Linked DNA regions of Cricetulus griseus. The protein of the gene in region 2 interacts with the protein of the main gene of each other region in a biochemical or structural test. Links are inferred from orthologs where the notes say so. Each region holds a gene or a part of one and is shown on either strand. Other genes may lie near its edges.

Region 1 (3,813 bases), on a different chromosome or scaffold from region 2:
ATGAATGAAGGTCACTGATTTTAACAAATACCCAATTCTTGTATATACATTTTTAATGTATATAGTATTCTGCCTGCATGTGTGCCTGCAGGCCAGAAGAGGGCACTAGAGTCACCATATGGTTGCTGGTAATTGAACGCAGGTCCTCTGGAAGAGCAGCCAGTGCTCTTTTTTATTTTATTTTATTTTATTTTATTTTATTTTATTTTATTTTATTTTATCTTATTTGTTATGTATACAGTATTCTGCCTGCATGTGTCTCTTCACGCCAGAAGAGGGCACCAGGTCTCATTACAGATGGTTGTGAGTCACCATGTGGTTGCCAGGAATTGAACTCAGGACCTTTGGAACCTGTTTCTGTTGTTTTTATAGGTCCAGACTGTGGATACTATACTCACCTGCTGTTGGGCTGCGGGGCAATGCTGCCATTTTGTTCAGGTGGAGTCTCTACTGGTTTGGATTTGAAGTAGTTGATAAATCCTCCAAATACACTCTTAATGCTATTGATATGTTTCTGGCTCATCTTCAAATCCTGATCCATCTTGTCTACCATCTTCTCCGTGTGTTCTAGGACTCCTCGCTGCCGGACCAGCTCCTGCAGAAGGCAAGAAGCAGTGGCATCATATCATTCCCCCAATTTCAAATCATAGCAAATGAAAGTCTGGGGCTAGGAATGTAGCTCAATTGGGTAGAGCGCTTATCTGGCATGCACAAAATCCTGGGGGGGATCCTTAGCACTCCATCAACCAGGCATAGTCACGCATACCTGTAATCACACAAACTGGGAGGTGGAGGCAGGAGGATTAACTTAATGTTATATTTCGCTATAGAGTGATTTTGAGGCAAGCTTGGGGGCCAGGTGAGACCCAGTCTTAAAAAACAGTCTAGGTGGGCTGGTGTGACTTCTAGGCAGGTCTACGCTTTGTCTGGTTTCCAACAGGGCCAGGGATGCTTCTGTCCTTTTCTAAACGGTTAGCATACAAAGTAACAGGCTTCCTTGTAATATTCCCCACCCCAGACTTCTAGGCCAACCAAAGCTACATAGAGAGACCTTGTTTAAAAAAAAAAAAAAGGTGGAAGTAGAAGCAGACACCCACAACTAATCACTGAACTGAACTGGAATCCAGATGCAGACAAGGACTAGTGAAGAGCAAAAGGGTCCAGACCAGGCTGGTGAAACCCACAGAAACAGCTGACCTGAACATCGGGGAACTCTTGCTTCCCAGTCTGATAGTAGTTCAGTACTTATCCCTAGCATAGGTGTGGACTTTGGGAGCCCATTCCACATAGAGGAATACTCCCTGAGCCAAGACACACTCGGGTGGGCCTAGGCCCTATCCCAAAGGATATGATAGACTCTGATGATACCCTATGGGAGGCTTCACCATCCAGGGGGAGCAGAAAGGATATGTGATAGGTAGGGTTTTAGTTGGGAGGGGTGGTAGGGGAGGATGGGAGGGAGAAGGGAACTGGGATTGTCATGTAAAACAATCTTGTTTCTAATTCAAATAAAAAATCTTCAAAGACAAAAAAAGATTAAAATTATTTACTTATTATTTTGGCTGAGGAATGGGGATCACATGTGAGGTCAGACAATGACTTGAGAGAGGTCACTTCTCTCCTTTTACTGTATAGGTCCTGAGAATGGAACTCAGAATTGATTCAGCCTACCGGTCCATCTTTATGCCATTTTTTTTTCCTTTTGGTTTTTTGAGACAAGGTTTCTCTGTGTAACAGCTATGGCTTTCCTGTAACTCCCTCTGGTGGTACGTGCCACCATCTCGCATCCATGCCATTTTCATACACACTTTTGATTGACTTCCCTGCTCTCCTTCGTCCCTACCGTACCCTGAAGCTCCCCCACCCCATTCCTCCTTCCACTTAGACATTACAAGTTCCAAGATCCTCCCCACCTATTTTAAAGCCACACTCCCAAACTTATGGGCCTTTCAAGTTTCATGGACTCTGCCTACACTTGTTCCCACTTAAATGGACATGTTTTACATGTTGCATGGTGGTATACACTTTAACCCCAGCACTCAGGAGGCAGAGGCAAGCAGATCTCTGAATCGAGGTCAGCCTAGTCCACAGAGAGAGTTTCAGGATATTCAGAGCTACATAGACAGAGCCTGTCTCAAAAACAAAAACAAACACACAAACAACAAAACAACCAATCAAACAAGGTGGGGGGGGGAGAGGGAGAGAAGAAAAAGGAAACCAGGATTTGTTTATGAATAAGTGAGAACATGGAGATGTTTGTCTTTCTGAGCCTGGATTACCACACTTAATGTAATACTTTCTAATTCCATATTATTTTCCTACAAATTTCATAAATTCTCTATGGTTGAATAAAATTTCACTATGAATATGTACCATATTTTCATGTTTCATTTATCCATTAGAATTTTTTTAGATATATTTTATGCATATGAGTGTTTTGCCTGAATGTATGTATGTGCACCACATATGTGCCTGTTGCCTATACAGGTCAGAGAAGGGCATCAGATCCCCTGGAACTGGAATTATGGATGGCTATGAGCTACCATATACATGCTGGGAACTGAACCTGGGTCTTCTACAAGAGGAACAAGTACTCTTAACTACTAAACAACCTCTTCAGTCTCTACACACATCCAGGCCAGTTCCATGCCTTTGCTATTTTGAAAATAAACATGGAAGCCTTTGGATATACACCCAGGAACATACAGCTAGACCACATTCTATTTCTAGGTTGTGTGGAGGGTCTCCACACGGACCCCATGGTGGCTACAGCACTTAGTTACACTCCCAACACAGTGAATGGTGCTCCTCTCCCACATCTTGCCAGCATTTGTTGTCGTCCGTCTTTATGATGATAGCCATTCTGATTTCTGAATCTCAAAGTAGTTTTAATCTACACTTCTGCTGATGCCTAAGATATTGAAGTCTGAGCTAGATGGACAGCTTGATGGATAAGAACATTGCTCTTGGGCTGGAGAGATGGCTCAGAGGTTAAGACCACTGACTGTTCTTCCAGAGGTCATGAGTTCAATTCCCAGCAACCACATGGGGGCTCACAGTCATCTGTGAGAGGAGATCTGGTACCTCTTCTGGTGTGCAAGCATATATGCAGGCAGAACACTGTATACATAATAAATAAATAAATCTAAAAAAAAAAAAAAGAACATTGCTCTTGCCGAAGACCAGAGTTCAATTCTCAGAACCCATGTTGAGTGGCTTACAACAATCTGTAACTCCTGTTCCAGAATTATCTCTGATGCCTCTGAGGGCCCCTGCACTCATGTGCACATACCCACACAGAGATACACACATACACATAATTAAAAATTAATATTGAAGATATTGAAGACTTTTCTTTGTTTTGAGACAGGATCTCACTATGTAGCTCGGCTGGCCTAGAAACAGGCTATATAGATCAGGCTGGTCTCAAATTCAGAGATTTTTAAAAAATCTTTAATTTTGGTTGTGTGTGTGTGTGTGTGTGTGTGTGTATACATAACCGTAGGTGCTCACTGAGACAGGTGTCAGATCCCCTGGAGCTGAAGTTATAGATGTCTATGAACAGTCTGATACAGTGCTGGGAACCAAACTCAGGTCTGCTACAAGAGCAACACATGCTCTTGCCTTTAACCACTGAGCCACCTCCACAGTTTTTATAAGGCTCTCCCTCCTGGGGATTTAATTAGGGATGTCATGCATGCTGGGCAAGCATGCTACTATCAAACTGTATCTTCATTTTTTGTCTGATAAGATGTAGGTAATTATTTCAGGGTCCTGTTTTGTTTTTTTTTTTTCCCTAAAATTTAAGGTATG
Region 2 (4,296 bases):
CTGGGGGACAATGTGAAAGGTACTGTTTCCAAATGCATCAGACCCTACTGCTGTAAGTCACTGCTTGCCAGTCCTGAGTTTCTTCTTGCTGGGAATAAATTCCTATACTCAATGGAGAGAGAGTGACAAGGAAAATTAAATTAAAAAAAAAAAAAAAAAAAAAAAAAAGGAGTGGAAGTGGAGCTGGCTCTGAGAAGTAACACACACAAAAGGGCCCCAAAGGAGCATCGGCAGGGCCTGTTAAGTGTACAGCAAGAAAGGCAGGGGGCAGTACAAATGCTTCCCTTGGCAACCAGGACAGAGAATTCAGTTCTTAGGACAAGTGGGTGGGTCCAGTTATGCAAGGAGGAGCATTCACAAACCACTCGGGATTCCTTCATGTCTGCCTCCATCTGTTCCTCTCACTATCTCTGAGGAGCACTCAGGAGAAAAAGGCTAGCAAGTCAAGTTCATGACTCAGTGAGTCCCTTTAAGAGTGCCAGGCAAAGCTGTATCAGCCAGAGAAAAGCCCCCTTTGTTGTGCCCTCCCTGGCCAGAGGCACCATGGTCTGAACATCCTGACACAGCTCCGGTCTTGGACTGCACCAGCATTTTTAGAGACCCTCTGGAATTGGGGTGGTTACAAGAAGGAAATATAAGTATAGTTCTTAGATGCCATGGACCCCAAGTTACCAAAGTGCCTGTCCTTTGCCAAGGGTTCCTCTGTTGTTCCTTTATGGGAGCAGTAGCAGTGAGTGCACAAAGCACAAAGAACAGACCATCTGACAGTTCAGCAGGGCCTGGGTTTCGTGAGGTATTGAGCTGGGAGTGGACGGGGTGCAAGATCGCTCTGCTCTTCAGCTCTGCATTTCCAAAGGTGGGAAACTGAGCAGGTGCCAAGTTCCTTGTTTGAAAGATCTGCCCTCACAATGAGGTAAAGACATAGGCTAAAGTAGTTGGAACAGTGAAGGCTCACAGGAGAAGGCTCCTATCACTCCTGAAGCATAGACGTAATGCATGAATGAACTCCTTGGCCCAGTAGCCAAACTTCTCACCAGACCAATGGCTCCCATCAACAGCCAATGCCCTACCTACAGGTACAGCAAAGCCCTAGGGAAAGGCTCCATTCAGGCTAAGGGTACCAGAGCATTGTACTCAACAGGCCTGTCAAGCAAACACCATCATCAGAAAACAAGACAAGCTGAAATTGCCTAGAAGGGACAAACAGACAACATTAAAGGTCAGTTCCGTGCAGGAGGCAGGCCTGGCAGCTTGCTCTAGAACAAGCTGGCCCGCCCTGTCCTGCTGGACAGTGTCTGTAGAGGAATGTGCTCATATAGGGCGGAGACCTGGAAAGCAGAATTCAGATTCTTTCCTAGGCTGTTCCCCCAGGCTGAATGCAGACTTCGAAAGGCATGTAGAGTCACTCCTTGAAAGAGGGAGCACGGAGGGCAGGCTCTGTGAGTCCTGTCATGCCTTTTGTGGGTGAAGGCTAGGATGCCAGACTACCTCCTTTACACAAGTGATCCTGGGTGTTAGAGCCCTTCAGACAGGCAGGTCACTGGGATCCATACATAGCGTCCTAAGGAGCTAAATCTTGCCTCACCCCTTCAACTGGTGAAACTGAGACTCAAGTGAGGCACATAAACACCTATCAACTCTATAGTGAAATGCAGGAGTCTGTCATTTCAGGGTCTCAGGGTTACCACCCCCTGAAATCTCTTGAGGCAGCACTGACTCATTAAATCGTCTCATGTACCCCTGGCTGGCCAGGAATTCACTTCAGTGCTGCTGTGGGGAGAGATGTTGAGACTCTGTCCTCCCCTGCCTTCAATGGGGGCTGCCTCCCACCGGTCCCCTGGGGATATGAAGCAGAGAGTGAGACACACCAGCGAAGGGAACATCTAAGTCTCAGGTTTTCCCATGACACTTAAAAAGCATACTCCAGCGAAGGAGGGCGACTGATGAGAATGAATTGGGTGTCTCCAGAATGAGGAACAAGAAAGGGAGGACAGCAAGGGCTCATCTTCCTACGGCGGCCCCGGGAGCTCTATGAGAAGGTCTGGGGTCAGCGGCGGTAAGGGGAAAGAGTTAAATTGATGACCTGGAAGATTCTGGGGTTGACAGAAGCCAGAAGAGTGGACGATGCCTATTACCCGACACCTGGGTGGTCACTGGGTCGCAACCAGGCCACAGTCCCTGGGAGTGGTCGCCTGGGGTCTGGCGGGGGCTCTTGGAGACAAAGGCCATCGGGGCAAAGGCTGCGGGGGTCCACGGTGGTCCTCGCGCCTGGAAAGAAGGGGTAGGTACCTGTTGAGGAAGGCGTTGCCGAAGGCGTTGAGCTTGCGGAAGGGGCGCCGCGGGTCGACGACCAGCGCGTTGCCCGGCACCACGCCCTCGGTGGGGCCGTGCATGACCGCGATGAAGGAGTCGGTGGTGGGCTCCGGCCCGATGCGCATCCCCGGGAAGTCCTGCTCGATCAGGTGGCGGATGAAGGTGGTCTTGCCGGTGCTGTACTGGCCGACCAGGAGCACCATGGGCTTGTTGTCGAAGTCAGCGTCCTCCAGCGCGGGCGAGTGGAACTCGTGGAAGCGATAGTGCTCCTCCAGAGGCAGCAGCTTCTGCGCGTACAGCTGCCGCAGCCCCTCGGCCACCGTCTGGAAGAGCTCCGGCTCCTTCTTGCGGCGGGCATCCTTGCTCACCCAGCTGAACATGCTGCCGGAGACCGAGCTGGCTGCTGAGGGACGGAGCGGCGGCTGAGCGGGACGAGGGCTCGCGGCCGAGGAGGGGCCGGCCGGCCGGCGGAGGGCAGCGGGGCAGGGGGCGGGGCGCGGCCCACACTGCGCAGGCGCAGGCTCGCGGACCGGCGCGCAGATCACCAGAGCGCCCTCTGCCGAGAGCCGCGCGAGCCGCGCGGAGCGGCCCCTTTATAGGCCGGAGCCCGGCGCTCGGGCCGCCTCAGGGCCCGCCGGGGAGGGGGCGGGGAAAAGAGTCCCCCAGGTCCTGCCCTACTCGCGTGCCACGTCTTCCCCTGCTTCCCATTGGCTGATTTCAAATCTCGCGAGCCCGTGGCTGCGGTGCCCTGGCAACCGCACCTGTTTTGCTCAGCCCCTCGAGGAGTGGCTAGCGGAAGTCCTGCTGTTGGCCGAGCCAGAGTCTAGCACCGAGATGTACTTAGCCTGAGCATCCTCCAGCATCGGTGGACTCCAGGACACCCCAGACACCTCGGCTGTGCTCCCCAACTATAGTGCTTCCACCCACTCGGAACCCCAAAAGCATCGGGAGCCCGGGCGCTGCCTCGTCTCCCGTTTCCCTACCTCACACACACTCCTCACCCCTTAAGTCTTTTAGCGCCTCTGGGGAGAGAGAGACAGGACAGCGGGAATAGGGAAAGCTGAGGCAGTAGAGGACAACGGGAAGAGAAAAATCGGTAAGGAAGGAGACGGAATGCGGTGAGAGAGGGACCCAGCAAAGGACACAAATAATATGACCTGGCGGGGAGAGGCCAAGGTCTCACCGAAGAGGTTCTACCCTCAGAATGGGGTAAAGAAGTTGAGGCTTTCTGGCTGCTTGAATTTTGAGGAAGTGAAATCGGAAATTCCCCTTGTGAGGAAGAGGGGACATGTTGGGCAACAATGAAATGTTGTGGGAACTTAGGGGAAATCAAAAGCCCAAAAACTTCCGCTTTCCTGTCAGGGACACCACCAGTCCCATCTTTTGTTCGGTTCTCTTGAGTCCCAACCTCCTTACCAGTGGGTGGCTGTCCCACGGGCCTCATGTCCCCACCATCATCCCTGGCCACACCTAGGCCCCCTTGGCTGTCTCTGCTGGTGAGAATTTTCAGTGGGTGATGTCAGAGATTTGGGGACTGTGATTGTTAGGTAACCAGTATCAGGTCACCTAAGTGGAAGGAGCATCTAAGGGCTGTTGGAGAAGTCTAAAATGAACCTGGGGAGTCAGTACTGGTTGATACACACCTCTGGTCTCAGCTGTTTGGTGAGCTGAGGTTGGAGGATTACTTGAGCCCAACAATATGAGACCAGCAGGGGCAACAGATACTGCCTTAAAAAAAAAAAAAAAAAAAAAAAAAAAAAGGACAAAATATTTATTGGTAGGATTAAACTCAGCTTAATGGTAGAGCAGTTGCCTAGCATGTACCAGCCCATGGGGCCCATCCCCAGCACCATGACAAACAAAAGCCTTGGGTCCATCCAATTTCATAGTTTTGAGAGACTTGGAAGCCTGGGGGCTGGACACCTGTGTAAGGGAAGAAATCAGGACGGGAGAATACAGCACCGGAAGCCCAGTGGAAGACAG

The links.
Region 1: the proteins of Ehd1 (region 2) and Snap29 form a complex in vitro, tested with the Homo sapiens proteins (2 studies listed by BioGRID). The link is inferred for Cricetulus griseus from reciprocal best matches to the Homo sapiens genes EHD1 and SNAP29.

Annotation. Positions count from the first base shown.
Region 1 is NC_048597.1:71,895,100-71,898,912, forward strand, and holds part of Snap29 (synaptosomal-associated protein 29), read right to left. Parts: intron 596-3,813; coding exon 399-595; intron 1-398. UniProt on the Homo sapiens protein: SNAREs, soluble N-ethylmaleimide-sensitive factor-attachment protein receptors, are essential proteins for fusion of cellular membranes.
Region 2 is NC_048596.1:53,077,408-53,081,703, forward strand, and holds the start of Ehd1 (EH domain-containing protein 1), read right to left. Parts: upstream 2,807-4,296; 5' UTR 2,694-2,806; coding exon 2,290-2,693; intron 1-2,289. UniProt on the Homo sapiens protein: ATP- and membrane-binding protein that controls membrane reorganization/tubulation upon ATP hydrolysis. In vitro causes vesiculation of endocytic membranes. Acts in early endocytic membrane fusion and membrane trafficking of recycling endosomes.